Linked DNA regions of Macaca mulatta. The protein of the gene in region 1 interacts with the protein of each later gene in a biochemical or structural test. Links are inferred from orthologs where the notes say so. Each region holds a gene or a part of one and is shown on either strand. Other genes may lie near its edges.

Region 1 (6,667 bases):
GCTGTACCACATCTTGGATAGAAAATGGCCAGGAACTAGAAGAGGAAGGAGAAAGTAGGATGGGAATCCAGCCAGGCTAGTCAGCAGATCATAGGTGCCTTAAAACAGGCAACTGTCAAACTCTACAAGCACACAATTGAAGAAAGAAGGCATTCAGGAGAAAGAACTAAAAGTGGACAGAAAGGAAATGAACTAGAGATGTTGGGGGCTAAGGGCCGAAGAAGGTTGTAAAAACTCAAGGGCCCACAAGCTTGACCACCTACCCAGTTGGCACCCGATACCTGTGCTAAACCCACCTGAAGCGCAGGAGCCCCTCCCGGCCATTGGTGGCCTCTTCCTCAGGGAATAGCAGCAGAGGAGTGGGGGGAAGCCTCGTGGAAGCACAGAATCTCTTGAGTGACTCCACCAACTCCCCCCGCCCATCCATCTCCATGAAGCCCCGAGACCAGCACACAAAGCTGGGGGGACTATTAAGTAGAGGCTGGGAACCAGGAGAAGAGAAAGCAAGAAGAAAAAAATTGAGGAAAATGAAAAAAAATGACATGTGGGGTAGAGGATCGGGGTTAGGGGTAAGGCTCAGTATCCTCCATGGGGAACGCGAGTGGGACAGGGGGGCCTTCAGCTGGGCCCCAGGGAACCGCCCCGTGGCGCTCTCGGCCTCGCTCTCACTCACGGTGCTACAGGTGGTGAGCAAATTGACTATGTTGTGGTCGAAAGGTGTCACGTGGTTGGAAATGAGGACCCTGACACTGTGATCCCGGAGTCCGGAGTCCTCCTGCCGGGCCACGAGCCCCAGCACCGCACACATGGTCCGCACTACGAACCTGGGGACACAGGCGGTGGTGACTGTGTGGCCTCGGGCCAGGCCCAGCTTTGACACTCCCCAAACGCCCGCGTCAGAACCTGCGAAGGACGCTGTCTGGCAGCGCGCAGCTGACCAGGAAGACGTGAATCCCGAGAAAGAGGCGCAGGACGAGGAGGCAGAACCCGACCGGCGCGTAGAGCAGCAGCGCGAGCAGCAGGAAGCAGTCACCCGGGAGCCTGGGGGCGAGAGGCGAAGTGGTCGGGCGCCGAAGGCCGAGAGGACGCAGGGGTAGGTCTCTTCCCGCCGGGTCTCTTACCGGTGCGAGTCAAAGAGCCGCTCCGGCCCCGGCCCTGAGGGAAGCTCCATAACTGCTGCTTCAGGAGCGCCCAGCCGTCGCCGCCGCCATCTTCGCGCCCGGCCGCAGGGGCTCCTGGGAAGGCGGAGTCTTTGGGCATCCGCCCGGGGTGACAGGACCCGAAGTCTTGAGGCGCGCCGGAAGGGCTAGCGGTCCCAGCATACCCTGCGGCCCCTTGGGCCGTCTCACAACTCGCGTCCCACGGAGACCACAATTCCCGGCATTCGCGGGACGGGGAGGAGTCGGCCTCCCGGAATCCTGGTCCCGACGTGCACTTCTGGAGGACTTCAGGTACCGGCGTGCCCCGCGTCCTACTGTCCGCCTGCTCGCGTCCTGGGTGCCGCCTCTGAGTAGGGCGGGCGAGGAGGCAGCCGAGGCGGAGCTGATGGCTGCGCCGAGGGCGGGGCGGGGTGCAGGCTGGAGCCTTCGGGCATGGCGGGCTTTGGGGGGCATTCGCTGGGGGAGGAGACCCCGGTTGACCCCTGACCTCCGGGCCCTGCTGACGTCAGGAACTTCTGACCCCCGGGCCCGAGTGACTTATGGGACCCCCAGTCTCTGGGCCCGGTTGTGTGTTGGGGTCCCTGAACCCCGAGCATGTCTGACGTCTGGGACCCCGGGTCCCCGGGCACAACTGACTGCGGTGACCCCAGATACCAGGACCCGGGAGGCCTCAGAGAACTCTGGAACCCGTTCGCGCGCGTGGCTGGCTGTGGCACTGGGCGCTGGGGGGGCAGTGCTGTTGTTGTTGTGGGGCGGGGGTCGGGGTCCTCCGGCCGTCCTCGCCGCCGTCCCTGGCCCGCCGCCCGCTTCTCCCCGGAGTCAGTACAACTTCATCGCAGATGTGGTGGAGAAGACAGCACCTGCCGTGGTCTATATCGAGATCCTGGACCGGTAATGGGGGTAGACCGGGAGGCACTGAAGCCACGGGCCGGAGGGCGGGCGGGTAGGAGGGGTCAGGGCCTCCTCTTATCCGTGCTTTCCCTCCATTCCAGGCACCCTTTCTTGGGCCGTGAAGTCCCTATCTCGAACGGCTCAGGATTCGTGGTGGCTGCCGATGGGCTCATTGTCACCAACGCCCATGTGGTGGCTGATCGGCGCAGAGTCCGTGTGAGACTGCTTAGCGGCGACACGTATGAGGCCGTGGTCACAGCTGTGGATCCCGTGGCAGACATCGCAACGCTGAGGATTCAGACTAAGGTGGGGGCTGGGGTAGGCCAGGTCTAGTTGGAGCTGCTTGTTTGTTCGCATCTCCAGATGACAGGTCTCTTATACCCATTCTCCCTTAGGAGCCTCTCCCCACGCTGCCTCTGGGACGCTCAGCTGATGTCCGGCAAGGGGAGTTTGTTGTTGCCATGGGAAGTCCCTTTGCACTGCAGAACACGATCACATCCGGCATTGTTAGCTCTGCTCAGCGTCCAGCCAGAGACCTGGGACTCCCCCAAACCAATGTGGAATACATTCAGACGGATGCAGCTATTGATGTGCGTCCTGATAGGAGAGAAATGACACATGATGGGGGAGTGGGGAGAGGCTGTGTGGTACAAGCACCAACTGATATATGGTGGATGAGCCTATATACAGAGCTTAGGCTGCAAAAATGTGGCCACTCATTCATGGGCTGAGAAAGAAGAGAATTTGGAGAAAGTACCTACATCCTGGTATGCCCCCAGACTTAGAATCCTCAGATCTCTTTCATGTTTTCTCCTTGTCCTGCAGTTTGGGAACTCTGGAGGTCCCCTGGTTAACCTGGTGAGTGAGACATCCTTCCTTCCAAGAATCCCAGCCCCAGGTCTGTGTGGGAAGGGTAGGTTTTCCCTAATTCAAGGATGTTTGGTCAAGTTTCTGAGCAGTTCTTTGTTGGCTATCTCTCAACATCCAACTGGATCTCCCCAACACTTGCTGCTACTTTTGTTCGGGTGCCCCCATCCCCTACTATTTGTTTGGGCTAGGGAACTGGGGGATGTATCCCTGCAGGATGGAGAGGTGATTGGAGTGAACACCATGAAGGTCACAGCTGGAATCTCCTTTGCCATCCCTTCTGATCGCCTTCGAGAGTTTCTGCATCGTGGGGAAAAGAAGAGTGAGCCTGGCTTATGGGGAAATACGGGAGGGGCATTCATTGGGACTTCCTGGAGGGTGGTCTATTGGGAGAAGAGGGCAGGGAAGGAAGGATGTAGCTGGGTGGGGCTTATTTGTCCCTCTGTCACAGATTCCTCCTCTGGAATCAGTGGGTCCCAGCGGCGCTACATTGGGGTGATGATGCTGACCCTGAGTCCCAGGTATGAGCTTTAGGGATAGTGACATGTAATGTGACCAGTGTAATCAGAGGTGGGCACCTCTATTGAGCTTTGTTCTCATTTCTGTCTTTATCTAAAATGAACTGTGTCACACTTGAAATAATCACAAGAGCTGTCTCCCTTCATCATCTTGACTTTCTTATTCCACTCCACTTTCTACACCTGTCAGACTGATTTCATCCTGTTACTGCTTTGATTTCAAGCCTTCAATCCATTAACTTGGCATTTAAGGGCATTTTCCATCTGTCTGTAAATCAACTTTCTAGACCTGGCTGTAATACCTTCCTATATGAATACTCAGCCAACCTGATTTCCTACTCCCATGTTTTTTATTTATGCTGTTCTTGTTTTATATGGTTAATATTGGACCCATCCTTTTAGGCTCAGCTTAAGTTTTTTCCCCTTAAAGCTTCTTTTAGTACTCTAGAATGACATTAGTGCTATTGATTTCATACTGTTTGTCATTTGGTGCCCTCATGTGGTGTACATCTTTTATGTACATGTTGCACTTTATTGCTAGAAGACAGAAAGTGAGTTGCCGTTGTATTTTGTAGTACCTAGCGCATGTCCTGTCCATCTATTTGCCAATGTGTTGATGAGAGACTTGAGGTGGAACTCAGGATGGGGAGAATGCCTGGGTTTGGCTAATAGGGTGATCTGTGTACTTTCAGCATCCTTGCTGAACTACAGCTTCGAGAACCAAGCTTTCCTGATGTTCAGCATGGTGTACTCATCCATAAAGTCATCCTGGGCTCCCCTGCACACCGGTGAGGGAGAGGCTGCAGTGTGATATGGGGATGGGTGAGGTGTGCATGTGTCCTTGAACTAGGCTTTGTACTCCTTCTTTTCTCTCTGTCCATTTTTCTCTGTAGGGCTGGTCTGCGGCCTGGTGATGTGATTTTGGCCATTGGGGGGCAGATGGTACAAAATGCTGAAGATGTTTATGAAGCTGTTCGAACCCAATCCCAGCTGGCAGTGCAGATCCGGCGGGGACGAGAAACACTGACCTTATATGTGACCCCTGAGGTCACAGAATGAATAGATCACCAAGAGTATGAGGCTCCTGCTCTGATTTCCTCCTTGCCTTCCTGGCTGAGGCTCTGAGGGCGCCGGGACAGAGGGTTAAATGAACCAGTGGGGGCAGGTCCCTCCAACCACCAGCACTGATTCCAGGGCTCTAAAGAATCACAGAAACACTTTTTATATAAAATAAAATTATACCTAGCAACATATTATAGTCAAAAATGAGGTGGGAGGGCTGGATCTTTTCCCCCACCAAAAGGCTAGAGGTAAAGCTGTATCCCCCTAAGGTTAGGGGAGATACTGGAGCTGACCATCCTGACCTCCTATTAAAGAAAATGAGCTGCTGCCATCTTTTGTTGTGGGCAGTTAGTCAGGTGCTGCTCTTTGTGGTGTGGTGGGCTCTGCTCTGTTCTGCTCGGTGCTGGGCCTGGGAGAAAAGATTCCCATGCTTGGCTACAGGTACTGACAGCTGGCCTCTGAAGGAGGGTGAGAACTTCTGCTTGACAGTTCCACATCCATAGTACATGGTCTGATGAGTGCGGTTGCTGACATGGGTTTCTTGGTAAGCTCCTGAGGTAATGGCAGCCTCAGACCCCTGCCATTAGGGGCCAGTGGTGGTTTGCAGAGGGCGATGGCACTTAGATAATCTGGTTGCTGGTCTGGCCAGGGTAGCGTTCAAACCTCCTGTTGGCCTCTTCACTGAAGGCATCACCTGCAGAGTGGACAGGCAATTTGGGAGGCGCCCTGCACAGAGGGAGGAAGACAGACCCACTGTGGAGAAAGATGGGTACAAGTGGAGGGACTGAGAGCTCCAGAGGAGGGTGGGAAGATGCAGAAACAAGTTACAGAAAAGAGAATGAACGTCTTTCCCTCCCATCCCCTAATCTTCCTGGGTTGCTCTTCCCATCAAATACCAATGTGGCAGTTGTGCACCCAGATTCGATGTCCATCATATTTGCAGTTACATTTCATTGCATTGTTGGTAAAGTCACTCTCTGCTACTTCAAAATTTGGGTTGATGACAATCTGTGAGTGAGAAAAAGGCCACTTAACCCAGCAACAATCCTCAAATTCAAAGGTGTCTTTAACGCTCCCCCCAGTCACCCATCTGGAAGCCCCAGACTCCAGGTACCTGGAGAATGTAGTTTCCTGGCTTCACATCTGTGATATCAATCCACTGACAGTCAATGTCATGCCGGTAGAGATCCCAGCAACCCACGGTGATGCCTTGCTCTCCAAAGTTGGCACACTCATATCTCTTGGAGACATCTGGAGGGATTGGCATATGTCAGTGTAAGGAAAGGCTGTGCGATGGATACCATGTGGTCCACTTCAGGCCCCAACTCACCCTCCTGACACTCAGTGTCTTCGAGACAAAAACTAGCTTTGTGGCCCTCAGCTACCTTGGTGCCATTTGGGGTGAGGATATCATAGTGAGTGAAGATGTCCATGCTGTGGTAATGCCTGTGGGGAGAAGGGAACTTCTGTTTCCTTCTCTTCCCCCAGAAGGTTTGCCCCATCCCCGTGGCCTTGCCTTTCTACTTGACTCCCTACCCTCTCACCCATGGCACTCGTGCCACACCCAGGAGTGGCGCCCAGCCTTGGGCCTGAAGTCAGCTCGTCCCAGGTTGTGGATCTGGGAGGAGAATCGGAGTAGACGTCGGTGACCATAGGGCCAGTTGGCTGAGCGGGCTGAGCTGGCCAGGCAGTTCTCTTCCGCAGCACAGTACAACATATGCAGGGGCCGGTCTTCGATATAGGCGGTTTCCTGCACCAATGCTGAGTGCAGCAGCAGATCCGATGCAGCTGCACCGATAAAGGAAGAGGGTGTTAGAAGTCACTGCTGACTTCACAGAGAGGGGTGCTTCCATCCCTCCCTAGTGTGTGAGACTGTTTTTTTGGTTGTGGTTTTTTTTTTTTTTTTTTGAGAAAGAGTCTCACTCTGTCGCCCAGGATGGAGTGCAGTGGCGTGATCTTGGCTCACTGCAACCTCTGCCGCCCGGGTTCAAGTGATTCTGCTGCCTCAGCCTCCCAAGTAGCTGGGATTACAGGCGCCTGCCACCGCACCTGGCTAATTTTTGTAGTTTTAGTAGAGACAGGGATTCACCATGTTGGCCAGGCTGGTCTTGAACTCCTGACCTCGTGATCCATCTGCCTTGGCTTCCTAAAGTGCTGGGATTACAGGTG
Region 2 (5,486 bases), on another chromosome or scaffold:
ATTTGGAGTAATTTGAACTCATGAATTAAAAGATAATTTTAAGTAAAGTAAATACAAATTTTATGAAGGGTAGGTTGGAAATAAAAATGCAAACAGGCTTTTGACAAAGGCTCAAATGTATTTCCATAAAAGTAAAATAAAAAAGATATTCTGTTTTTCCTAAAAATAGTGATAATCAAAGGTAAGTATATGGGCCCTTGAAAGCAAGTCAGTCAAATCTGTCAATAGTACATAAATAAAATTAAAGTTATTTGAAATGCAAAAGATAGATAGTTTCAGGTCAGTAAATGATAGTCAACCATTGAGTTGATAATTAATAAAAAAAAGTTCTTATATGTATGAAATTTTCACTATATTGGTCTTCTCTAGAATTAAATGTGGAAAGACATCATGTATAAAAATGATCAATTTTATCTCCAAACTCCCAAAACTTACCAAAAATGAGAAGGGAAAATTAATTTTGAAATCCTCTTAGACCTTAAAAATAAACAAATACAAATAAATAAATAATTAATTAGCCTCTTAGTAGGAAAACTTGCCTTAAGAATGTCATAAGTAGTGAAATAAGCATCTCAATCTTTTGCCTTCATATATACTTACAGCAAAAACAAGATGTGAACTAAGGCTTGTGTAAAATAGATGTGCACAAGGAAAATGATGGAACATTTTTTAGCTCTTTTATTCCAAATTCAAGCATACTATTAAATTTAATTCTGGCTTTTGTAAGCTTTAATTACTTTATCTAAATCAGAATTCTCAACAGACTAATTAAATCAGAATTCATGCAATAGCTTTTTTCTCAGCACTCAGTTTCCTCTACACAAAGAACGAGAATAATTATATTAGAATCTCTGGGTAGGCATAGGCATTGGGATTTGTGGGGAAAAGTTCTCCAGATGATTCTATTGTATAGGTAAGCATTAAGAATCACTTATCTAAACTGCTTTATTATTTTCATTTACTCTACATTTATTCTTTTATTCTACCATCCCATACACATTTTGAATGAAACAGCAAAGTCAGTAAATTTGTACTTACCCTAATGGGGTTATGAACTGGGGCAAGTGGCTGAGTCACAGGGTAGATCTGGCGGGTGGGATCAAGTAGAAGTTCTTGGCTGAGCAGAAGGGCTTGAACAGGCACAGCTCTCTGAGGGTAGGGCACCACTTGCTGGGGGATAGGCAGGACTTTGGGCTGAGGAACAGACCACAGGGGCTGAGGGGGAAGCGCAAGAGTCTGAGGAATAGGCTGAGGGACCTGGTGCATCAAGGGCTGGAGCAGAGGCAGAGGAAGATGCAGATTTTCAAGATCAGGGAGTTTTGGGATTTGAGGCTCAAAAAAGGGCATCATTGGAGATTTATGGATGGGCATCACTCTGCCTTTAGTGTAAATAGTGTCTTTAGCTTTAGGGACTTCCATTATTTCAGGCTGAGGGACAGGCAGCACCACAGCAGGCTGAGCAAGAGGCAGAATGTTTTGTGGAAGAAAACCATAGGGGATAGGCTCAACGAATGGATAGATCAGAGGCTGTGGCTGGAAAGAGGGGTCGATTTTATCCTGGCGTTCATCCTGGAAAGAAGGAAAAAGAATCTTTGAGTCCTTGATTCAGCTATAATTGCCATTCATAATGAATTCATTTCTCTCTTTTAGGCAATGATAAATGAGTAGAAAGAGAGGAAGAAAATATTTCACTTATTTTGTTAAGAAATTATCTTGAGTTATGTGAGGAAAAATGAGTAAAATGTTTGTTGAAAGATTTTAATCCACTCACTTCATGGGTAACTACACAGGCCAAAGTGAAATCAATGTTTGGATATTTCAGAAACATTCTTTTAACCTTTTCCTGAATTGCCTGTATAGCTGTAACTGTACACTTTGGTCTTCAGAGAGAATTTACTTTTCAACACAGTTGTGCCAATAATAGACCAAATTGTTTTCACACAGTGAAAAGAGGTCAGTTTAAAAAGACTTAGAGGGACAATTCCAAGGTTCATTTTTGTTTTGTTTTGGTTTGATGAAAAAGAAAATCAGTCTTAATTTGTGGCTTATCTCAGGAAGTGATTTAACACCAGCCAAATTCTTGCATTCCTTCCCTTGGGAGAAGATAGTCTCTTGAGTCTTTCAAGAGACATTGATTTTTTTGTTTAAAATTGATTTTAAAAATATTTTATGTGATACCAAACAATTCATTGATACACAAAGCAACTGAAAATTGTGATTAGGTAAACATATCACCATAAATGTAATTTAATGAAATACAGGATTTTGTGTTGTCCATACGGGAATGAAGGCAGTATGGCACAAATTCTACATAGTTTATTTTTTACCAGCTGTATACTCCTTTTCATTACCATATCCACCTTGAAAATAAGAGGATCATAGTTCCCAACCTGGAAATGTTCCCACCAATGTGCGCTTGTTGAAAACAGATATACCATTAGTAATATCATTATGTATTTAGTCTATATTCCAGAAATTAATTATGAGTTTAAAAATGCATGCATATCCTAGAAAATATATTGACTTTATCAATGTTTAATTTTTTTACAGTGGTTCGTGGGTATATGGCATTTATTTTATTACCATTCTTTAGAATCAACATATACATTATAAATATTTTTGTATGTATTATACTTTATGATAATTTTAGAAATATACTTATCGTTAACAAATTACCTCTCTTTGCTGCTGGTCCTCATGTTTAACCTTCTCAACTGTCTGCTAAAAATAAATCATATATAAAAATATGTTACCATCTGTAAAAATTAGAGGAAATTTTGAAAATATGTACATTTTAAATGTGAAAATTTACCTTGTATTGTGTAATAGATTCCTATGGAAAAATATAAAATAAAATTAGATTTAGTTTTAACAATTCTTACTTTGCAATATAAATCAGGAAATAAAGGCATTAATTGTTTGATAATATCATTAATAACTTTGTATAATCATTAAAGCTTATATATTAAATTGTTCTATATAAGCTTGTTGTATAAAAGAAAGTCAGATGAATGCAGTCAAGAAGGACATGGCACAAAAAAAGCAATTAATAGATGCTAATTTCTCTCTACCACCATGCTCATCCCCTGACAACAAATGATCTCTAAAACCCCATTTGGTTTTTTAAAAAAGGCAATACTCTTTGAAAATATGTTCTAATAACAATTGATACATTATGATCACTTCAAATGAATCAGAAGAGTTAAACATTTCCCTTAAGGATCATACAACCTTCCTGAAGAAACAGAGTCTATTGAGGTACCATTTACTTATCAAGTGATCACACACCCAAGAAGAGAGATGTAAGAATAAATATCTACCTGACTCTCTCAGGTAGATTTAGGACTACACTAAATCTCACTTATTTGCTAAAGTGGCAATTGTAATTATAAAATGTGACCTTTTTCATATCTGCTTACCTACTGCTTAGCAAGCTCTTAACTATCACTCGCATCTCTATCTTTTCAGTTTGTACCACAGCTCCTAGTCGATGTCTGACCCATAGAAGACCCTCAATATATGCTCAAAGTGAATGAGTTCAGAGTAAAGAGAGTTCAAGGCAGAAAACAGGACTGTATGGTTCATTAAAAAAGAAAAAAAAAAAGAGGAAGCAACATAACACAATTTCAAGTAGCAAGCCAATTTAGAAAGTTCCAGAATGTTGTATTTTCCAGATACTTATTGTCCTTAAACATATATAAAGGAAATGTATACTAGAACTTATATGTCATTGACATAGTGGCATTAGCTTAACTGCCATGATATAACACCATAGAAAAATAGCACAGGATTTTACTCTTCTAAAATTGGGCAGAATGTTAACTTACCTCACTGCTTGAAAGATTTTCTACAGTCTGTGGAAAAAAAAAAAAAATGACAACCAGCTACATCTTCTAGATCATTAGAGAATTTTACTATTTTATGGTTCATAAATTTTCTCTAAACAAAAAAAATCTTACCTCAAAGGATGCACTGGATTGTTCCTTCTGAAAAGATGTTTAAAAATTCAGTTTCTACAGCTAACACATTGTTAAACATGTATCCTACTTAATTTTTACATCATTTATGCAGATCTATCTCTTTCACAAATGTGACAAATTAAAAATGTTATATGACTTTTGAGGCTTGAAAGGTAATTGCTTTAATGTCTTTTACATTTAGTAATTTTTATTAATATACTTTTATCTTACATTTATTAAAGACAGTTTTTGATGGTTGAGTCACTTTAATTTGTATTAAATATTTTTACTATATTATTATGAATGTATGATTAGGATTATGATTGTGTCTGTACTTCATCCTATGGATGCCTTTGTATAGACAGACTTGGACCCAGTGCCCTAGGCTATAAGATATATATACATTTTATGACTGGAATAAGATATGTTTATCTAGGTTGAGCATCTGTGGAGTTATTTATGCATGTATTTGTTGCCATTTTTATGATTTTTTATTACTTATTGATTTGTTTGCTTTTTCTTTAGTGACTAGCAGCACATTGGTGTCGGAAGCATTTGGAGCACTATAGGAAACTGTTGAGACAGTGGGTAAATATAAATGATTTTGATAGAAGTCAAGATAATTTTCATGAAATTCTTCTTTATTATAAAGTAAAAAATGTTGGTGATGTTATTCTCTACAAATAGGCATATAGTCCACTATTTCTTGATTTTTATGAATTTTTTCTTGTGCACATACCTCCCTTGCAAGAGCAAGAGCCACCAGGCAGGCAAGAATGATGACCTTCATGGCTACTAAGTCCTGTGAATGGAGAAAAAATGGAATAGTGATAGATTGGTCAATTGGATATATTTTCTTATTTAGTTAGGTAAGGTTACTTTTTATAAAAAAGAGAGACAATGTATGACAAAAATGTCTACATTTTAGAAAATAAATAGAATAAATACTAAATAGAAGTTATATCATATGACTCAGGTCAAAATCTATTCTGGCTTGCTATTCTCATTTATCAAATTCCAAACTTCATTGCCAACTATTCAGATATTTCAGCTAACAACTCATCCCCACTTTTAAAAACGTCCCATTTGCAGTATTGAATTTTTCAAAAGGCATAAAGAAGTTATAAATATATATGGAAAGATTTATTCATTAATTTAAAAATATTTCCTTAGAATCTGTTCTTGCCAGACACTGTCTAGGGACCAGGACTGCAGCAATGAGCAAAATATTACAGTCCTGATATTACTCCCTGATGGAGCCTCAGTTCTACTGGAAGAGACTAATCAAGAAAATGTGTACAAAAAAGTCACATTTTATTTTTATCTTTTTTTTTCACTAAACGGTTACCATGAATATTTTAGTTTAATTATTTCTCCTCATTTCCAATAAGACTGAGATTTTCATTTTAACACTTTCCTTATTTGTGTCACTATCCAGAGAATTGTTGGACTATAAAGTTTGTTTCTTCTCTGTTTATATCCATCTTCCCCACATAGCTAATAATATCTGTTCTCCTTTTTGCCCCA
Region 3 (6,168 bases), on another chromosome or scaffold:
TGGAGGTTGCAGTTAGTCTGTGCCACTGCACTCTAACCTGGGTGACAAAGTGAGACTCTGTTTCAATTTAAAAATATATATATATTTAAATATATTTAAAATCAGTACTAGCTATGAATATTACAAATAGATACGCCCTTTGGCTTAATAATGCCACCTCTAATAATTTATCTACAAATATGCATGCATATATATGAAACTATATCTGTTCAAAAAAAATTTTTTTTTCTTTTTTTTTTTTTGAGATGGAGTCTTGCACTGTCACCCAGGCTGGAGTGCGGTGGCACAATCTCAGTTCACTGCAGCGTTGGCCTCCTGGGTTCAAGCAATTCTCCTGCCTCAGCCTCCCGAGTGGCTGGGACTGTAGGTGCACACTACCACGCCTGGCTAATTTTTTTGTATTTTCAGTAGAGATGGGGTTTCCCCGTGTTGGCCAGGCTGGTCTCAAACTCATGGCCTCAAGTGATCCACCTACCTCAGTCTCCCAAAGTGCTGGGATTATAGGCGTGAGCCACAACACCTGGCCTGTTCAAAATTTTTCATTGCTGCATTTTTTTTAATGTATAAAGCAAAAGACTGGGAATAACCTAAATGTCTATCAGTGAAGGAACTGATTAAATAAATTAGGGTATATCCATAAGGTGAAAAACAATGGTAACATTTTTTAAAGTGAGGAAATACTTTCTATACTGATACAGAATCTTCATTTTGTTTAATGAAAAAAGCTAGGCGTAGTAGTACATATAGGATGTACAGTACTAACTTGTATATGTATATCCCTGAAGTACCTTATTAAAGATCGGTCGGCTAAAGAACAGAAGTATGATATTGTACTTTGTGAATTTTGAGCCATCAGTCAAGAATACTTTTTTTTTTTTTTTTGATACAAGGTCTCGCTCTATCTCCCAGGCTGGAGTACAGTGGCATTATCTTGGCTCACTGCAACCTCTGCCTCCCCGGTTCAAGCAGTCCTCCAACCTCAGCCTCCCTAGTAGCTGGGACTACGGGCACGTGCCACCACACCTGGCTCATTTTTGTGTTTTCAGTAGAGATGGGACTTCACCATGTTGCCCAGGCTGGTCTGAAACTCCTGGGCTCAAGCAATCCACCCACCTCAGCCTCCCAAAGTGCTAGGATTACAGGTGTGAGCCACCACGCCCGGTCAAAAATAAATAAAATTTTAAAAGGTGAAAGGAAACCACTTACTGAAATTTTATTTTTATAACTCTTCTTTTTTCTTTTTCTGCTAAATTGAGCTAAATAACATGTATTATTACCTCACATATCGTTTTTTTGTAGTGAGAACACTTAAAATCTACTCTCTTAGCAGTTTTCAGGAGTACAATACATTATTAACTATAGTCACCATTTTGTACAAGAGATCACTTGAACTTTTTTATATTTTTATAATTCTTGAAAGAGAATTGAGTATCATTTGTAGTATCAGAATTGCAAGCTTTTCAAAAATAAGAGGTTGAAAACATGATTCTTTTTCCTCTTTATCTCTCTTATACCCATAGGGAATGTGCAACAATCAGTTAACCGCAAACAGAGCTGGAAAGGTTCTAAAGAATCCTTAGTTCCTCAGAGGCATGGCCCACCACTAGGAGAAAGTGTGGCCTATCATTCTGAGAGTCCCAACTCACAGACAGATGTAGGAAGACCTTTGTCTGGATCTGGTATAACAGCATTTGCTCAAGCTCACCCCAGCAACGGACAGAGAGTGAACCCCCCACCTCCACCTCAAGTAAGGAGTGTTACTCCTCCACCACCTCCAAGAGGCCAGACTCCCCCTCCAAGAGGTACAACTCCACCTCCCCCTTCATGGGAACCAAACTCTCAAACAAAACGCTATTCTGGAAACATGGAATACGTAATCTCCCGAATCTCTCCTGTCCCACCTGGGGCATGGCAAGAGGGCTATCCTCCACCACCTCTCAATACTTCCCCCATGAATCCTTCTAATCAGGGACAGAGAGGCATTAGTTCTGTTCCTGTTGGCAGACAACCAATCATCATGCAGAGTTCTAGCAAATTTAACTTTCCATCAGGGAGACCTGGAATGCAGAATGGTACTGGACAAACTGATTTCATGATACACCAAAATGTTGTCCCTGCTGGCACTGTGAATCGGCAGCCACCACCACCATATCCTCTGACCGCAACTAATGGACAAAGCCCTTCTGCTTTACAAACAGGGGGATCTGCTGCTCCTTCGTCATATACAAATGGAAATATTCCTCAGTCTATGATGGTGCCAAACAGAAATAGTCATAACATGGAACTGTATAACATTAATGTACCTGGACTGCAAACAAATTGGCCTCAGTCATCTTCTGCTCCAGCCCAGTCATCCCCGAGCAGTGGGCATGAAATCTCTACATGGCAACCTAACATACCAGTGAGGTCAAATTCTTTTAATAACCCATTAGGAAATAGAGCAAGTCACTCTGCTAATTCTCAGCCTTCCGCTACAACAGTCACTGCAATTACACCAGCTCCTATTCAACAGCCTGTGAAAAGCATGCGTGTATTAAAACCAGAGCTACAGACTGCTTTAGCACCTACACACCCTTCTTGGATACCACAGCCAATTCAAACTGTTCAACCCAGTCCTTTTCCTGAGGGAACCGCTTCAAATGTGACTGTGATGCCACCTGTTGCTGAAGCTCCAAACTATCAAGGACCACCACCACCCTACCCAAAACATCTGCTGCACCAAAACCCATCTGTTCCTCCATATGAATCAATCAGTAAGCCTAGCAAAGAGGATCAGCCAAGCTTGCCCAAGGAAGATGAGAGTGAAAAGAGTTATGAAAATGTTGATAGTGGGGATAAAGAAAAGAAACAGATTACAACTTCACCCATTACTGTTAGGAAAACCAAGAAAGATGAAGAGCGAAGGGAATCTCGTATTCAAAGTTATTCTCCTCAAGCATTTAAATTCTTTATGGAGCAACATGTAGAAAATGTACTCAAATCTCATCAGCAGCGTCTACATCGTAAAAAACAATTAGAGAATGAAATGATGCGGGTAAAACCTTTTAAAATGTCCATTTTTATACTTAAAATCTATTTGCTTGGTGTTTATTTTAAAATATTGTGCTCCAGTATTTTTCTTTTTTTATAGCTAACTACAATATATTATCAGTTACAGAATTTAAAAGTGAATAAATTTAAAGTACTTTTGATTGTAGCATTTTTTTTTTTTTAGTATTTCAAGATTTACTCAGAATTTCCTCTAATAAAATCTTGTGTAAATTAAGAAAAATATAATTTGCAGTGTACAGTTTAGGTGTACATAATACCTTTATATGAAAATTGGAGGAAAGGTTGTTTTCTAGGTTTTATACATTATCTTACAACATTTAAACATAAATTAGAAATTTGTGGGTCTCAAGCCGGGCACGGTGGCTCACACCTGTAATCCCAGCACTTTGGAAGGCCGAGGCAGACAGATCATGAGGTCAGGAGATTAAGACCATCCTGCCTAATACGGTGAAACCCCGTCTCTACTAAAAGTACAAAAAAAAAATCAGCCGGGCGCGGTGGCAGGCGCCTGTAGTCCCAACTACTTGGGAGGCTGAGTCAGGAGAATGTTGTGAACCTGGGAGGTGGCAGTTGCAGTGAGCCGAGATCGCGCCACTGCACTCCAGCCTGGGCGACAGAGCGAGACTCCGTCTCAAAAAAAAAAAAGAAAGAAATATGTGGGTCTCATCTCCTGATATACTTACGAAACAATTCCTTTTACTTGTAGAAAATTTGGAGTTTATGGGTTTATTCATCACATAGTTCTTATTAGAAAGTGTAAAAGAAATTCCCTTCAGTTATTTCTCCCTTCTCATTTCATTTTTATAATATACTAGAGAAAAATGTGCTGAAATTATTTAGTCAAACTGCACTAAAAGGGAGATCAGAATAAGTAAACACACTTTAATATGTATTGTCATTTCACATAGATCTCTTCACTAGATATTAAGGTAGTGCGATCATCATCTTTTTTTTTTTTTTGAGACGGAGTCTTGCTCTGTTGCCAGGCTGGAGTGCAGTGGCACCATCTCGGCTCACTGCAACTTCCACCTCCCAGGTTCAAGCAGTTCTCCTTCCTCAGCCTCCCCAGTAGCTGGGACTACAGGCACCCGTCACCACACCGATCTAATTTTTTATTTTTAGTAGAAGCGGGGTTTCACCGTGTTGGCCAGGCTGGTCTTGACCTCTTGACCCCATGACCCACCCGCGTCTGCCTCCCAAAGTGCTGGGATTACAGGCGTGAGCCACTGCACCCGTCTATTATTGTTTTTATCATATGCTTACAGTTCAAATATTTGACTCCTAATCTTACATCTGTCACTCACAATCCAAGAGGCTTAACCTTGTGATTAAACTCCTTTATATATATACTTGAGAGAACTATTCTTTTAAAATGATTTTTCCATATCTGATTTTACAGTATTGTTGTTTCCATTTTATATTTTATTAAATGAGAAATACCATAATAATTTCTATGACTTATTCATATTTTAGTTCTTAGGATTTCTTACTAAAGTCTGTCTATGTGTATTTTCTTAGTTTATTTTTCCTTTTTCCTCTTCACTTTCACTAATAGCTGATTTAAACTTTTATGGTGTTGGAAGCTTTGCTGACTTCTGTAGTCTCCATTACTGTGTAGGCAAGTAAGATTTTAAGAGAAACAGTTCTGAACTAAGTCTGGCATGCCACCCTTAAAAGATTTTGCATGCAAATACGAATCCTAACAGAAGCATGTGGTTGCTCTATTTTAGTCTTGTATTTCTAGAATTAGACCCCACTTTTCCAATTGAATTTCTTTTCATTTAAACCCTTTAATTAATTCTTTATTCATTAGCCAAAAATGTTTCTCCCTTCTAAATCCAGGCATTCCATATCTATAATACTTAGAAGTTAGTTTTTGTTTTTAATCTATTTTTTGATCTGTTCATGAGTCACACTGACTATTCTTTGAAGTATTCCTAAATATCCAAAGGATATCTTGTGAACAACCAGGTGGTTCTTTTCGAAGTAGGAGAAACCCTTTGCAATTTGTGTTAGTGGTGGGCCGTGAGTCGCACCTTTACTCTAATGCCCTGAAAAAGAGAAAAGGAAAGATTATTAATGACTATTGTGTATTTATTGAGAATGGGGAAAGGATTGGTGGGTTAGAAAAGGCATTGTTTTGTTGTTCTTTGGTACATTAATTTTTTAGAATAAATGAACCTGGAGTGGAAGAATTTTTTTTTTTCATGAAAGACAAAATAGGAGGAAGAATATTTGAGGCCTAGGCATTCCACCAAGAGAAGCATGTAACAGAGAGATAAATGAAGATGCATGTTAACAGGTGTTTGTTGCACATTGAGAACCTTTTTTTTTTTTGGAGTGCATTAGAGAAGAGTAGAAAGCTTACTCATCTGGTACCCTCTTCTTGCGCTCCACAGCTGAATTTGCATATGTATTCACTTTGAATATCCTTTTAACTACCCCTTAGGCTGCACTTTTGATCATTAATTTCCTTTGAAATGTTTTCTAGATTTCTAACATGCTTTATTAAAATTATGTATTTAACCTTTAAATATATGCCTGAAATTTTTCCAAGCTATTTCTTAATATTCAATATTGAAGAAGATAATTCTTATTTAACATCTAGTTTATTTGCCTAGGTTGGATTATCTCAAGATGCCCAGGATCAAATGAGAAAGATGCTTTGCCAAAAAGAATCTAATTACATCCGTCTTAAAAGGGCTAAAATGGACAAGTCTATGTTTGTGAAGATAAAGACACTAGGAATAGGAGCATTTGGTGAAGTCTGCCTAGCAAGAAAAGTAGATACTAAGGCTTTGTATGCAACAAAAACTCTCCGAAAGAAAGATGTTCTTCTTCGAAATCAAGTTGCTCATGTTAAAGCTGAGAGAGATATCCTGGCTGAAGCTGACAATGAATGGGTAGTTCGTCTGTATTATTCATTCCAAGATAAGGACAATTTATACTTTGTAATGGACTACATTCCTGGGGGTGATATGATGAGCCTATTAATTAGAATGGGCATCTTTCCAGAAAATCTGGCACGATTCTACATAGCAGAACTTACCTGTGCAGTTGAAAGTGTTCATAAAATGGGTTTTATTCATAGAGATATTAAACCTGATAATATTTTGA
Region 4 (6,168 bases), on another chromosome or scaffold:
TCTCAAACTCCTGGAATTAAACAATCTGCCTCCCTCGGCCTCCCAAAGTGCTGGGATTACAGGTGTGATCCACTGTGCCCAGCCTTGACCATTTTTTATTTGGGTTGTCCTTCTTTTTCTACTGAACAGTCTGGGGAGATGGGTTACCTTTTTGTTATTGAGTTAAAAGAGATCATTATATATTACAGTTCTTTTTTTTTGGCCTCTTTTACTTTCTAAATGAAGATTATAGTTATTTATATATATAAGTCCCTGTCAGATTTATGATTTGCAAGTATTTTCTCCCATTCTGTGGGTTTCCTTTTTTTTTTCCCCCCAAGATGGAGTCTTGCTCTGTTGCCCAGTCTGGAGTGCAGTGGTACGATCTCTGTTCATTGCAACCTCCGCCTCCTGGGCTCAAGCAATTCTGCCTCAGCCTCCCGAGTAGCTGGGATTACAGGTGTGCAGCACCATGGCTGGCTAATTTTTGTTGTTGTTTTTTTAGTGGAGATGGGGTTTCACCATGTTGTCCAGGCTGGTCTCAAACTCCTGACCTCATGATCCACCCACCTCAGCCTCCCAAAGTGCTGGAATTACAGGCGTGAGCCACTGCACCTGGCCACCTTTTTCACTTTCTTGTTGGCATTCTTTGAAGCATAACGTCTTTAATTTTTTTTTTTTTTTGAGACGGAGTTTTGCTCTTGTTACCCAGGCTAGAGTGCAATGGCACGATCTTGGCTTTCCGCAACCTCTGCCTCCTAGGTTCAAGCAATTCTCCTGCCTCAGCCTCCTGAGTAGCTGGAATTACAGGCGTGCACCACCACGCCCGGCTAATTTTGTATTTTTAGTAGAGACAGGATTTCTCCATGTTGAGGCTGATCTCGAACTCCTGACCTCAGGTGATCCACCTGCCTCAGCCTTCCAAAGTGCTGGGATTACAGGTGTGAGCTGCTGTGCCCGGCCAAACGTTTTTAATTTTTATGAAATCCAATTTATCTGTTTTTTTGTGTGTGTTGCTCATGCTGTTAATGTCATATTTAAAAAACCATTGCCTAATCCAGGGTCACCAAGGTTTATACCTATGTTTTCTTCTAAGAGTTTTATGGTGTTATATCTTACATTCTGGTCTTTGATCCATTTTGAGTTAATTTTTGTATATGGTATGAGGTAGGGGTCCATGTCCTTCCTTTTTGTTTTTAGCAAGTTGAGTTTGAGATACCTGCAGGACATTGAAGTAGGAGGATAATAAAACCTGTATAAATGAGAGTAAGATGGTGCTGGTAGGGGAAGTGTCTGGAAAGACCTTTTTTTTTTTTTCTTTTGAGGCAGAGTCTCGCTCTATCACCCAGGCTGGAGTGCAGTGGCGCAATCTTGGCTCACTGCAACCTCCGCTTCCCGGGTTCAAGGGATTCTCCTGCATCAGCCTCCCGAGCAGCTGGGACTACAGGCACATGCTACTGCACCCAGCTAATTTTTGTATTTTTAGTAGAGACAGGGTTTTTTTTTGCCATGTTGGCCAGGCTGATCTTGAACTCCTGACCTCAGGTGATCCACCCACCTCGGCCTCCCAAGGTGCTGGGATTATAGGCGTGAGCCACTGCACCTGGCTGGAAAGACCATTTTTAAGAAGGGTCGATGAGGGATTCGAAGGGAACCACCAACATCTCATTAGATGGGCACAAGTAAAGGAGCAACAAAACAAACTGAAAATAAAAACAAGTCAAAGATAGAAGCAAGAAAGAGCAATGTATAGTTGCCCTCTGGACATTTCTACCTAGAATGCATCTCTAAAAACCACTCAGACTGAATCCAATCCTGCATTTTTTTCTCCTGTATTGGTTAATAGTACCACAGTTCACAAGGTTGCCCAGTAATTTATGTGTTCCTAAGCTCTTTGCTCTCTGTAATCCTTTTACATTTAATTAATCATCAAATTTGATGGATTCCACCTTTTTAATGTTGCTTCAGACTTTCCCACTTACTCTGCTCTAGTTCAGGCCCTTCCTTGTTTTTCATCTGGACAATTGTAGTAGTCTCCTAACTGGTCTTTTTTCTATATTATAACCTCCCAACAGAGGTTTTCTTTTTTTTTCTTTTTTTTTTTTTTTTTTAGACGGAGTCTTGCTCGATCGCCCAGGCTACAGTGCAGTGGCATGATCTCGGCTCACTGCAACCTCTGCCTCCCAGGTTCACGCCATTCTCCTGCCTCAGCCTTCCGAGTAGCCGGGACTACAGGCGCCCATCACTATGCTTGGCTAATTTTTTTTTGTATTTTTAGTAGAGACGGGGTTTCACTGTGTTAGGATGGTCTCGATCTCCTGACCTTGTGAACCGCCCGCCTCAGCCTCCCAAAGTGCTGGGATTACAAGTGTGAGCCACCATGCCTGGCCCAGAGTTGTGTTTTTTTTTGTTTGTTTGTTTGTTTTGAGACGGAGTCTTTGGTCTGTCACCCAGGCTGGAGTGCAGTGGCGCGATCTTGGCTCACTGCAAGCTCCGCCTCCTGGGCTCACACCATTCTCCTGCCTCAGCCTCCCGAGTAGCTGGGACTACAGGCGCCCGCTACCACGCCCAGCTAATTTTTTGTATTTTTAGTAGAGACGGGGTTTCACCGTGTTAGCCAGGATGGTCTCGATCTCCTGACCTTGTGATCCGCCCGTCTCGGCCTCCCAAAGTGCTGGGATTACAGGCGTGAGCCACCGCGCCCAGCAAGAGTTTTTTTTTTTTTTTTATCAAAACACACATCTTAAGTTACTTTCCTACCGTAAAAATATATTTTGTTATTTACTATATATGTTCTTTATACTAGAATCTCTATATCTCTTCCTTTCCAGCCTCCTCTATTTATTTACTTATTTATTTATTTAGATAGCATCTCGCTCTGTCGCCAAGGCTGGAGTGCCATGGTGCAGTCTTGGCTCACTGCAGCCTTCGCCTCCCAGGCTCACAGTATCTTCCAGTCTTAGCCTGCAGAGTAGCTGGGACCGCAGGCGTGTGCTGCCACACCCAGCTGATTTTTATATTTTTTACAGAGACAGGGTTTTGAACTCCTAGGCTCAAGCTATCTGCCTATCTTAGCCTCCTGAAATGCTGGGACTACAGATGTGAGCCACCATGCCCAGCCTTATGTTTTATTTTTATTTTTTAATAGAGACAGGGTCACACTTTGTTGACCAGGGTGGTTTCAAACAGCAGACCTCAAAGAATCCCCCTGTCTTGGCCTCCCCAAAGTGCTGGGATTACAGGTATGAGCCACTGCACCCGGCCTCCTCTCTTTCAAAAAAACATTTATTGAGCTATAATATACATATAGTAGCCAGGTGTGGTGGCTCACGCCTGTAATTCCAGCACTTTGGGAGGTCGAGGAGGGTAGATCACAAGGTCAGGAATTTGAGACCAGCTTGGCCAATATAGTGAAACCCCGTCTCTACTAAAAATACAAAAAGCCGGGTGTGGTGGTACATGTCTGTAATCCCAGCTACTCCAGAGGCTGAGGCAGGAGAATTGCTTGAACCTGGGAGGCAGAGGTTGCAGTGAACCGAGATCACACCATTACACTCTGGCCTGAGTGACAGAGTGAGACTCTGTCTCAAAAAAAAAAAAAAAAAAAAAAAATATATATATATATATATATATATGTATGTATGTATATATATACACACACACATACAGTAAAGTGCTTCAAGTACCCTAATCATAAGTTTTCTACTTGATGAATTTTAACGTATGTATGTTAAAATATATATTAAATAAAATATGTGTTAAATATATATTAAAATGTGTCTGTTAAAATATATATATTTATCTGTGTAACTATCCCCCAGATTAAGACATAGAACATTTCCACAACCCTAGAAAGCTCTTTCATGCTCCTTCCCCATCAGTACGCACCCCCAAGTTACATTCTGGCTTCTGTTACCATAGATTAATTTTGTTTATTACCATAGATTAGTTTTGAAGTTCTTATAAATGGACTCATGCAGTAGGTACTCTTGTGTCATAATGATGAATTATGATTCTGGTTTGCTCGTTATATCTATGAGATTCATCCATATTGTCTGTGGCAATAGTTTTTTTTCTTGCTGTGTAGCTTATGAATATACCACACAATCTATTCACCTGATGATGGACATTTGAGTTGTTTCCAGTTTGGGGCTATTATAAATAACACTGCTATGAATATTCCTGTGCATATCTTTGGCAGAGATATACACTCATTTTTAATACCCAAGAGTGGAATTGATGAGTCAGAGGGTATAAGTGTCCTCTCTTAGCACTTCCCTACACATGCTGTGTTCCTACTTTGAGTATCATAAAAACAGGTTTCCATTGACTTTCTTGCTTTATCCAGTCCTACCCGCTCTACTACAGAAATGAAGTTTGAGAGCTAGGAAATTGACATGTTCAAGGTTATAGACTGGGATTTCCCTAATTTCCCATCATTTTCCCCAAATAATTGCTAGTGACTCAGTAACAACATCCACTCTTTAAGTACCTTAGGTTAATTGTTAAAGAGTACAGCTAGATTTTAAAAAGTTCAGATTTTTGAAGCACTTAACCTTTTTCTTGCCTGTTTTACCTTGCATCGTCTCAAACACTACAAAATACATACTCATTGCATTTACAATTAATTGTAAGATTCTGAAAGTGATTTTTCAGTGCCTGAATACTTCAAAAAATCTTCCCAAAGCAGCTTTGCTTTGCTGGTTTGTTTTTGTTCTTTTGCTTGCTGCTGAATTTTTTCATTTTAACTATATTTTGCTATTGAGTTGTGATAATGAAAATAATTGTTTAAATTCTATGTTCTTTTTCCTCACCAATTTTTATTTCAGATGATACCATCTTCCAAAATCCTATGGTACAAGAAGCTATACGAATGGGGTTCAGTTTCAAGGACATTAAGAAAATAATGGAGGAAAAAATTCAGATATCTGGGAGCAACTATAAATCACTTGAGGTTCTGGTTGCAGATCTAGTGAATGCTCAGAAAGACAGTACGCAAGATGAGTCAAGTCAGACTTCATTACAGAAAGGTATGCATTGCTGTTTTTAAAAAGCAAGAAAGGGCCGGATGTGGTGGCTCACACCTGTAATCCCAGCACTTTGGGAGGCTGGGGATATGGACATTTTTTAAACATAACCTTAATGCTGTGTGTTAGTCTGCTCAAGCTGCTATAATAAAATTCCATTGACTAGGTGTCTTAAACAACAGACTTATTTCTGACAGTTTCGGAGGCTCCAAAATCAAGGTGCTGGCCGATTTCGTTATTGATGAGGGCCCTCTTCCTGCCTTGCAGATGGCTGCCTTCTCACTGTGTCCTCACATGGCATGGGTTGGGGGTGGATGGGACAAGATGGAGCAAGTACTCTGGTCTCTTTTCCTCTACTTTTAGGGACACTAATCCCATCATGGGGGTCACATCTTCATGACCTCATCCAAACTTAATTAGTTCCCAAAGGCCTCATTTCCAAATATCATTACATTAATCATGGAAAAAAGATTAAAAATATGAATTCTACCAGCCTGGGCAACATAATGAAACTGTCTCTACAAAAAATACAAAAATTAGCCGGGCATGGTGGTGTGTGCCAGTAGTCCCAGCTACCTGGGAAGCTGAGCGGGGAAGATCACCTGAGCCAGGGAGATCAAGGCTGCAGTGAGCCATGATCATGCCACTGCACTTCAGCCTGGGCAGCTGAGCGAGATCTTGTCTCAAAATATATATATATCTCCTTTAAGGATGATGGACACTATAGTGCTTGCCAACAACATCGAAGGTTAAAGAAGAGGTTTCACGGCCGGGCGCGGTGGCTCAAGCCTGTAATCCCAGCACTTTGGGAGGCCGAGACGGGCGGATCACAAGGTCAGGAGATCGAGACCATCCTGGCTAACACGGTGAAACCCCGTCTCTACTAAAAACACAAAAAATTAGCCGGGCGAGGTGGCGGCACCTGTGGTCCCAGCTACTCGGGAGGCTGAGGCAGGAGAATGGCGGGAACCCGGGAGGCGGAGCTTGCAGTGAGCTGAGATCTGGCCACTGCACTCCAGCCTGGGCGACAGAGCGAGACTCCGTCTCAAAAAAAAAAAAAAAAAAAAGAAGAGGTTTCAAACTGAGTACACTTTTGGGTACTATACCTGTAATAGTTCTCTAAGCTCTTGACTATCCTCCCTCCAAAAAGATGAGAATTCTC
Region 5 (6,767 bases), on another chromosome or scaffold:
GTGCTTGCCATGTGTAGGAGTCTGGGCACAAGTGTCCCTGGGCCTACCTTGGTCCTCCTGCTCCCTTCTGGCTACTGCGCTCTCCATTGGGACCTGACTGTGGGGTCCTGGATGCCAAAAGGGCACCCCTGCGGAGTTCCCCTGTCTGTCCCAGGCTGACCCATTGGGGAGCATCAACCTTGGGGTCTCTTCTGTCCCAGGGCTCTCTGGAGGACACGCTGGGGCCGGGACCCTGGGAGACTCAAAGGGAGAGGTCTCAGTGGTTAGAGCTGCTCAGCCTGGAAGTAGGGGGCTGTCCTGGTCAGTGCTGAGACCCACAGGTCTAAGAGGAGTGGCAGAGCCAGTGTGCCACCAGGCTGGGCACGGACAACCACCAGGTGTCAAATGAGAAAAGCTGCCTGGAGCCTTGTGTTCACCCGTGGGTGTGTGTGGGCACATGTGGATGAGCGTGCACTCCTCGTGTTCATATGTCAGGGCACATGTGATATGGTGCATGTGAATCTGTGGGCGCCTAAGGGCCAGCAGCCATGCCTGGCAAGAAGCTGGCGCTGGGGCGGGCGTGCTGTTGCCTTCCCTCTCCTCAGTTCCTGATGCTGTGAGGGGTGTTTCAGACTGGGGGCTCCAGTGGGCGAAAGGGCAGCCACATGAGCGCCAGCACGGGCTTTCTCCTCGGATATGTGACCCGCAGCAGGCTCCTGAGGCTGGGGGTGACTGGGTGGTTTGGCCTTGAGGACGCTAAGGCAGGCAGCACACGCGGGTGTGGACTTGGACTCGAACACTTGTGCGCCGCACCCTGGCCCGCTCTCTACCTCTGCCCACCGTTGTGGCCCTGCAGCCGGAGATCTGAGGTGCTCTGGTCTGCGTGTCATTCCTCTTTCCTTGTCCCAGGATGGAGCTGATCCAGTAACCTCGGAGACGGGACCCTGCCCAGAGCTGAGTTGGGGGTATGGCTCTGCCCTGGAAAGGGGGTGACCTCTTGCCTCGAGGGGCCCAGGGAAGCCTGGGTGTCAAGTGCCTGCACCAGGGGTGCACAATAAAGGGGGTTATCTCGCTCGGTTCATATCCAAAGGCCACTCCAGGCCCTGCTGCCCCCGCCATCCCCACTGCTGGGCATGGGGGGAGTGTCTGGGTCACTCTGCATCACTCACCTCTAGCTGGCCAGATCCCTCAGGCCCCCAGTCAGACCAGTGGCCATCTTCTGGCACCCTCCCTGCTCCCTGGAGGGTCTGAGCCCAGGGGGACCAGGGGAGGACACGGCTGATGGGTGGGCTCTGAGGGCACAGGGTGGGACGGCCACCCAGATGGTGACCCCAGCTGCCCTGTGGGGATGTACTGGGCAGGCTTGGCTTTGGGCCAAGATCCAGACACCACCTCCCTACCCCTCAGTGGTCAGGGAAGCTGGCTGGGGGGGAGTTGGGTGTCAAGGGAGCAAGGGTCTGCCCATCCCTGGGTGGGGGCTGGGTGGGCTAGGGAAAATAGCTTTCCTTTCCTTCCTGGTGAAGGAAAAAGAGGCCACTTTAACCCAGAGAATGTGTGTGCTGGTCCCGTTCCCACTATGCTCTGCAGCTTACGTGTGGGGGAGGGGCCAGACCATTTGGGGTCAGGCAGTGTCTCTAGGGGCCAGGGACAGTCTGTGCCCTTGCTTGGGTCTTGGGTAGGGGTGGAAACTGTCTGGGAGTTGGGGGCCCTCCTGGGGCCTCATCAGTGTAGTGGTCAGTCCTGGGGGAAGTCCAGTGTTGGCGGTTGGGGGTGGGAGCAGAATGGGGACACAGCCCCCCCTCAGAAGCCTGGTCTGTGCGGGGCCTTCTGGACCCCTGAGCTCCACCACGGGGAGTTAAGGGGGACAGCAGTGGCAGCTGGGCTTCCTGAAAGAGGTAGATGGAGTGCCACAGGCAGCCCAGGGCACAAAGGGTGCAGGCCACAGGCAGCTGTGGTTTGGGCAGCCCCGGGCTGCCCCTGCTCACTGGGCACGAGCTGATGAATGCCACGGAACACAGCCCAAAGCCCAGGTGTAAAGCTCCTCCCGCCCTTGAGCGGCTGAGCTGCTGATTCATGGCCGGAGGGCGGGGCAGAGGGCCCTAGCGATCCTGTTACCCACCAGCCCAGTGGGCTCCCGGGGTGCACCCACATCCCTCCTCAGACCCAGGTTTCTGGACTGCGGTGGGGGTGTCAGGGTGGGGCTTCGCCCACCAGAGCATCTGGTCTAGGATGGGGCCAGACATATGGGAGGATAATGCCCACACAGAGGGGTCAGGCTGAGGGCCCCAGCAGGTCCCCATCCCTGCTGGAGACAGTGCAGCCACCCTCAGCCTGGGTTTTGCAGGACAGGACAGGCAGGGATGGGACGGGCAGGGGCACCAGCACTTGCAACACTTGCAGCAGTCACCCCGCAGATGGGGGGAGCAGGGGGAGGAGTTGGGTGTCCAAAAGGGCCCTCGGGGACCTATGGGACTGAGAGGCCCGGGGTCAGTGGCCACAGGGGTGGGGTTGGGGATGCAGCCTGAGGATTTTGGGAGACAGACCCCTCCGTGTAGAAAGAGGGATACAGGCAAGACAGGTGCAGATGGACCCCCCATTCGGGGATGGATGGATCAGGCGCAGAGGTAGGGCATCCTTGGGGGTGGCGTGGGAAGTTGACTCTAGGTACACAGGGCTCAGCCCAACTTGGGACTGCCGATAGAAGTCAGCGCTCAGGCTGTCAAGGATGGGCCCTGCGCCCTGGAACCATGGGCAGTCAGGACTGGAGCCCAGGGTCTCAGCAGGAGCTCCCCACTCCCCCGGCTCCACCCCCAGAGCGGGGCAGTTCAGCCAAAGGGGAGAGGCTGACAGGGGTATCTCCGCGCCGCGTCCGGCCCTAGGTCGGAACAAAGCTGCGGGGCGGCGCTCCCCTCCCCCTGCGCTTCCCCCCAGGCTCCGGCCCTCCCCCGGCGGCGGCCGCCTCGGGTTTCCGGAGGGGCCGGAGGGCGGGCGAGGGCGTCACGTGCGCGCCGCCCGCGGGCCGGTTGGTCCCCGGGCGGGGGAGGGGCCGTGCGCTGCCTGGGTCGGGGTCGGGCCAGGGTCGGCACCTGGGACATCCCCGAGGGAAGGGCCGGGAACAGGAGCGTCCCAGCGGCGGGCGGGCGAGCAGCGCGGAGTCGGCCCGGGGCGCACGCCGAGGAAGCCCCGCCGATCCCAGGTCCCCGGTCCTGGGGCACCGCCCGCGGGCTCTGCGGGGTGGGCGGCTCCCGGGCCTGCCATGAGCTCTCCGCCGCCTGCCCGCAGTGGCTTTTACCGCCAGGAGGTGACTAAGACGGCCTGGGAGGTGCGCGCCGTGTACCGGGACCTGCAGCCCGTGGGCTCGGGCGCCTATGGCGCGGTGTGGTGAGCGCGGGGCGGCCGGCGGGGCGGGCGGGGCCTGCGCGGGGTGCCCGGCCTTCCCGCTAAGCGGTCCGCCCCGCAGCTCGGCCGTGGACAGCCGCACCGGCGCTAAGGTGGCCATCAAGAAGCTGTACCGGCCCTTCCAGTCGGAGCTGTTCGCCAAGCGCGCCTACCGCGAGCTGCGCCTGCTCAAGCACATGCGCCACGAGAACGTGAGTCGCGCGACCCCGCTCCGGGAAGGCGCCCCGGCCTCGGCTGGGTTCGGCTGGGCTGGGTCCCTCCACCCGGCAACCCCTTCCCCAGGCAACCTGCTGTGGGGCGGGGCGGGGGTCGGGCCGTGGGCCCCCAGGGGAGAAGGAGAGCAAGGAGACGACTCCCCCAAGGGCCATTCCCCCTCCTCTGCCAGGCCCGGGAAAGAGCCCCTTGACTTGGCGTCTCAGCCAGGCCCTGGTCAGGGGACACGACTTGGCCAGGCCCAGGGGATCCTCCAGGTCTCACGCCAAACCCTGCCCCCAGCCAGGAAGCCCGCGGTGAGAGGATGCTCCCGGCAGGAGGATTTTCCTGGAAGGGGCACCTTCTCTTTCCCATCCGGGCCCCTCTCCAGCCCCTCTGTGGAGCCCACTTTGTTGCTGTCCATCTCCCGAGTCTTCCGACCCGGTGGAGGGGGAGGAGGGGGGCGCCAGAACGTAGGGAGTATGGTGAACCCTGGGGGTGAGTGAAGGGTTCAGGGAGCTGCTGTTTGGGGGGCACTGGGCGTGGTGGTCATCTCACAGACACCCTCCCTTTCGTTGTGGGGGCCCATCCTTTCCAGTCCTGCCTGTGAGATGCCATGCACAGCTGCCCTGGGCCTCTCCCACGGAGTGGCTGGCTGCGAAGAGCCGGACTTCTCTGCCAGGGGCCCTCTGGTTTCTGGACACAGTCCCACTTGTCCACTGCCCCCCATGTCACTCCTGCCCTGCCCCTGGTCTGGGCCCAGCCTGAAGGCAGGTGGCCTGGGCGCCCGGACCCTAGCTCCAGTGTGAGATGCTCTGGACCCTCCTGGGTCATCCGAGCCACCGGTGCCCTGGGAGAATGAGTCCCTGCGTCCACCAGCAAACCACCCGCCCCCTGGTTCCTGGCCACCGCCACTCTCTCAGCCCCTTGGGTGGGTCCTTTTCTCTGAGGCTTCCCATAGCCCACCCTGACCCCAGCTCACCACCCCGGGCCCTGTGAAATCTGTTTGCGGTGGACACCAACCTTGCCCCCACCTCGACACCCCCGTCACACCCGGCCCTGCCCCCACCTTGCCACCACTGCACTCCCCCATCCCGCCCGTCACACCGAGACCTTGCCCCAGGACTGTAGCCTTCCCCTCGGCCCCCTGCCCCCACCCACCCACTCACTCACCTGCTTGGGCCTTGCCCCATCCAGCCAAGTGCTCTGGGGCTTTTCTTTCTTCTTTTTTTTTTTCTTTTGAGATGGAGTTTCGCTCTTGTTGCCCAGGCTGGAGTGCAATGGCATGATCTCGGCTCACCACAACCTTTGCCTCCTGGGTTCAAGTGATTCTCCTGCCTCAGCCTCCTGAGTAGCTGGGATTACAGGTCCATGCCACCATGCCTGGCTAATGCTTTGTATTTTTAGTAGAGACGGTGTTTCATTATTTTGGGCAGACTGGTCTCAAACCCCTGACCTCGAGTGATCCGCCTGCCTCGGCCTCCCAAAGTGCTGAGATTACAGGCCTGAACCACCGCGCCCGTCCACTGGGGCTTCTCTTTTTTGAGATGGGGTCTCCCTCTGTCGCCCAGGCTGGAGTGCAATGGCGCGATCTGTGACCTCCACCTCCTGGGTTCACACAATTCTCCTGCCTCAGCCTCTCTAGTAGCTGTGACTCTAGGCACCCACCACCACACCCGGCTAACTTTTTGTATTTTTAGTAGAGACAGAGTTTCACTATGTTGGCCAGGCTGGTCTTGAACTCCTGACCTCGTGATCCGCCTGCCTTCGCCTCCCAAATTGCTGGGAGTGCAGCCGTGACCCACCGCGCTGGGCTTTTCTTTAGCCACCGCCCTGCTGTCCTGGGGTCCCCGCTGTGCCTGGGGGTCCACCCCCTGGGCTCCCGGCCTGCAGCTGAGGCTCCTTCCCTGGAACCCCATCTTCCTGGAAGACTGAAGCTCTGTGAGGCCACATGCCTTGCTCAGCGGGGGAGGAGGCTCTGCCACAGGCCCCAGTCCTGCCATCCCCATGCCACCTCCCTCTCCAGGCCAGCCCCCACACCACAGAGGCCAAGCCAAGTCCTATGGCCCCTAGCCCACAGGACCCTGCTTTCCATCTTCTGCCAAAGCGCTCTCCTGGGCACCCTCCAGCTGTCGTGTCCACAGACCCCACTGTTCCCAGGCCTCCCTGGACGGGCCTCTGTTCCTTCTCCTCCTCCCTCCACATTCTTGCCCATGGCTCTGGCAGAGCTGTCCTTCCAGTTTAGGTCCATTCTTGCTTCACTCTGGCCAGTCCCTACACCACGGCCAGCAGGACGCGTTTAGCATCACACCCATTTAAATCCTTCCCTGTCTCTTGGGATCAAAGCCAAACTTTCACCTGGTGTGTGCTGCCCTGCCGGCTCCCTCTGGCCTCTCCTCAGCCCCTCCCTGGCCTGGGCCTTGGCCACCTGGCCTCCCTCCCTGTGTTCCTCAAACTCTCCCAAGTGTTCTCCCTCTTGCCTTGGCCACTCTGCATGTGCCCTCTGCCGGGTGTCCCGCAGCCCACATGTCTACCTGCCCCTCCATCCTTGGCTGTGCAGAACTTCTCCGGGCCTCCCTGGGACCCTGTCACCCCAAAATGCTGAGGCAGCAGTTATCACATGACCTGTCCACTGTCCATCTCCCCAACCAGGGGTGCTGTGGGGACCAGGTCTGGCGGGTCATGGTGCTGTCCACCTGGGCCTCACCAGCAGAGGCCTGGCCTCTCCTCATAGCACTATCCCTTCCCTGGGTGTCAGTCTGCTTGGTTGGGGAGAAGAGGGGAGAAAGGGGCAAGTGGTAGGAGCCCTTTGGATGGTTCAGAGCCAGCCCAGACTCCGGGTTGCCCTTCCCCCAGAAGATCCCGGCTGTCACCATCCAAAAATAACCTGTCTGTGGGTATGTGTGCCAGGGCTGGGCCACGCTGCCAGTGGGCAGAGCCAGGCCCTTTGGACAGTGGGGCATGACGACAGCTGCAGAGGGGGTTTCCTGCCCAGAGGGCTGTGCCACTCTTGGGGGGGGCCCCAGCCCGTGTCCTCCGCTGCACTCTCAACCCTACCTGGCCCCCCAGGTGATTGGGCTGCTGGATGTGTTCACTCCTGATGAGACCCTGGATGACTTCACAGACTTGTGAGTGCCGACCTGGGCTGGCTGCTGGGCACAAGGGGTGGTGGGCAGCTCTGGGCACTGGCTTCAGGT

What was found.
Region 2: of the proteins of HTRA2 (region 1) and CSN2, one has a biochemical effect on the other in vitro, tested with the Homo sapiens proteins (2 studies listed by BioGRID). The link is inferred for Macaca mulatta from reciprocal best matches to the Homo sapiens genes HTRA2 and CSN2.
Region 3: the proteins of HTRA2 (region 1) and LATS1 form a complex in vitro, tested with the Homo sapiens proteins (2 studies listed by BioGRID, with this or other methods). The link is inferred for Macaca mulatta from reciprocal best matches to the Homo sapiens genes HTRA2 and LATS1.
Region 4: the proteins of HTRA2 (region 1) and XIAP form a complex in vitro, tested with the Homo sapiens proteins (10 studies listed by BioGRID and IntAct, with this or other methods). The link is inferred for Macaca mulatta from reciprocal best matches to the Homo sapiens genes HTRA2 and XIAP.
Region 5: of the proteins of HTRA2 (region 1) and MAPK12, one has a biochemical effect on the other in vitro, tested with the Homo sapiens proteins (2 studies listed by BioGRID and IntAct, with this or other methods). The link is inferred for Macaca mulatta from reciprocal best matches to the Homo sapiens genes HTRA2 and MAPK12.

What each region holds. Positions count from the first base shown.
Region 1 is NC_133418.1:50,270,851-50,277,517, reverse strand, and holds the end of HTRA2 (serine protease HTRA2, mitochondrial), read left to right. Parts: coding exon of another isoform or gene 1-35; intron 36-296; coding exon of another isoform or gene 297-1,041; intron 1,042-1,120; 5' UTR 1,121-1,121; coding exon of another isoform or gene 1,122-1,260; 5' UTR 1,261-1,545; coding exon 1,546-2,051; intron 2,052-2,152; coding exon 2,153-2,357; intron 2,358-2,446; coding exon 2,447-2,641; intron 2,642-2,876; coding exon 2,877-2,909; coding exon of another isoform or gene 2,910-3,134; coding exon 3,135-3,240; intron 3,241-3,369; coding exon 3,370-3,439; intron 3,440-4,128; coding exon 4,129-4,224; intron 4,225-4,329; coding exon 4,330-4,495; 3' UTR 4,496-4,711; downstream 4,712-6,667. Other genes in the region: lipid droplet-regulating VLDL assembly factor AUP1, read right to left, coding at 1-35, 297-824, 904-1,041, 1,122-1,171; LOXL3 (lysyl oxidase homolog 3), read right to left, coding at 5,119-5,192, 5,395-5,506, 5,613-5,749, 5,829-5,944, 6,043-6,286.
Region 2 is NC_133410.1:63,894,574-63,900,059, reverse strand, and holds part of CSN2 (beta-casein), read right to left. Parts: intron 4,762-5,486; 5' UTR 4,750-4,761; coding exon 4,699-4,749; intron 3,987-4,698; coding exon 3,960-3,986; intron 3,855-3,959; coding exon 3,828-3,854; intron 2,834-3,827; coding exon 2,813-2,833; intron 2,722-2,812; coding exon 2,677-2,721; intron 1,570-2,676; coding exon 1,039-1,569; intron 478-1,038; coding exon 472-477; 3' UTR 436-471; intron 1-435. UniProt on the Homo sapiens protein: Important role in determination of the surface properties of the casein micelles.
Region 3 is NC_133409.1:68,187,242-68,193,409, reverse strand, and holds part of LATS1 (serine/threonine-protein kinase LATS1), read left to right. Parts: intron 1-1,520; coding exon 1,521-3,034; intron 3,035-5,672; coding exon 5,673-6,168. UniProt on the Homo sapiens protein: Negative regulator of YAP1 in the Hippo signaling pathway that plays a pivotal role in organ size control and tumor suppression by restricting proliferation and promoting apoptosis.
Region 4 is NC_133426.1:130,330,532-130,336,699, forward strand, and holds part of XIAP (E3 ubiquitin-protein ligase XIAP), read left to right. Parts: intron 1-4,808; coding exon 4,809-5,009; intron 5,010-6,168.
Region 5 is NC_133415.1:1,183,520-1,190,286, forward strand, and holds the start of MAPK12 (mitogen-activated protein kinase 12), read left to right. Parts: upstream 1-2,963; 5' UTR 2,964-3,235; coding exon 3,236-3,360; intron 3,361-3,439; coding exon 3,440-3,569; intron 3,570-6,639; coding exon 6,640-6,698; intron 6,699-6,767. UniProt on the Homo sapiens protein: Serine/threonine kinase which acts as an essential component of the MAP kinase signal transduction pathway.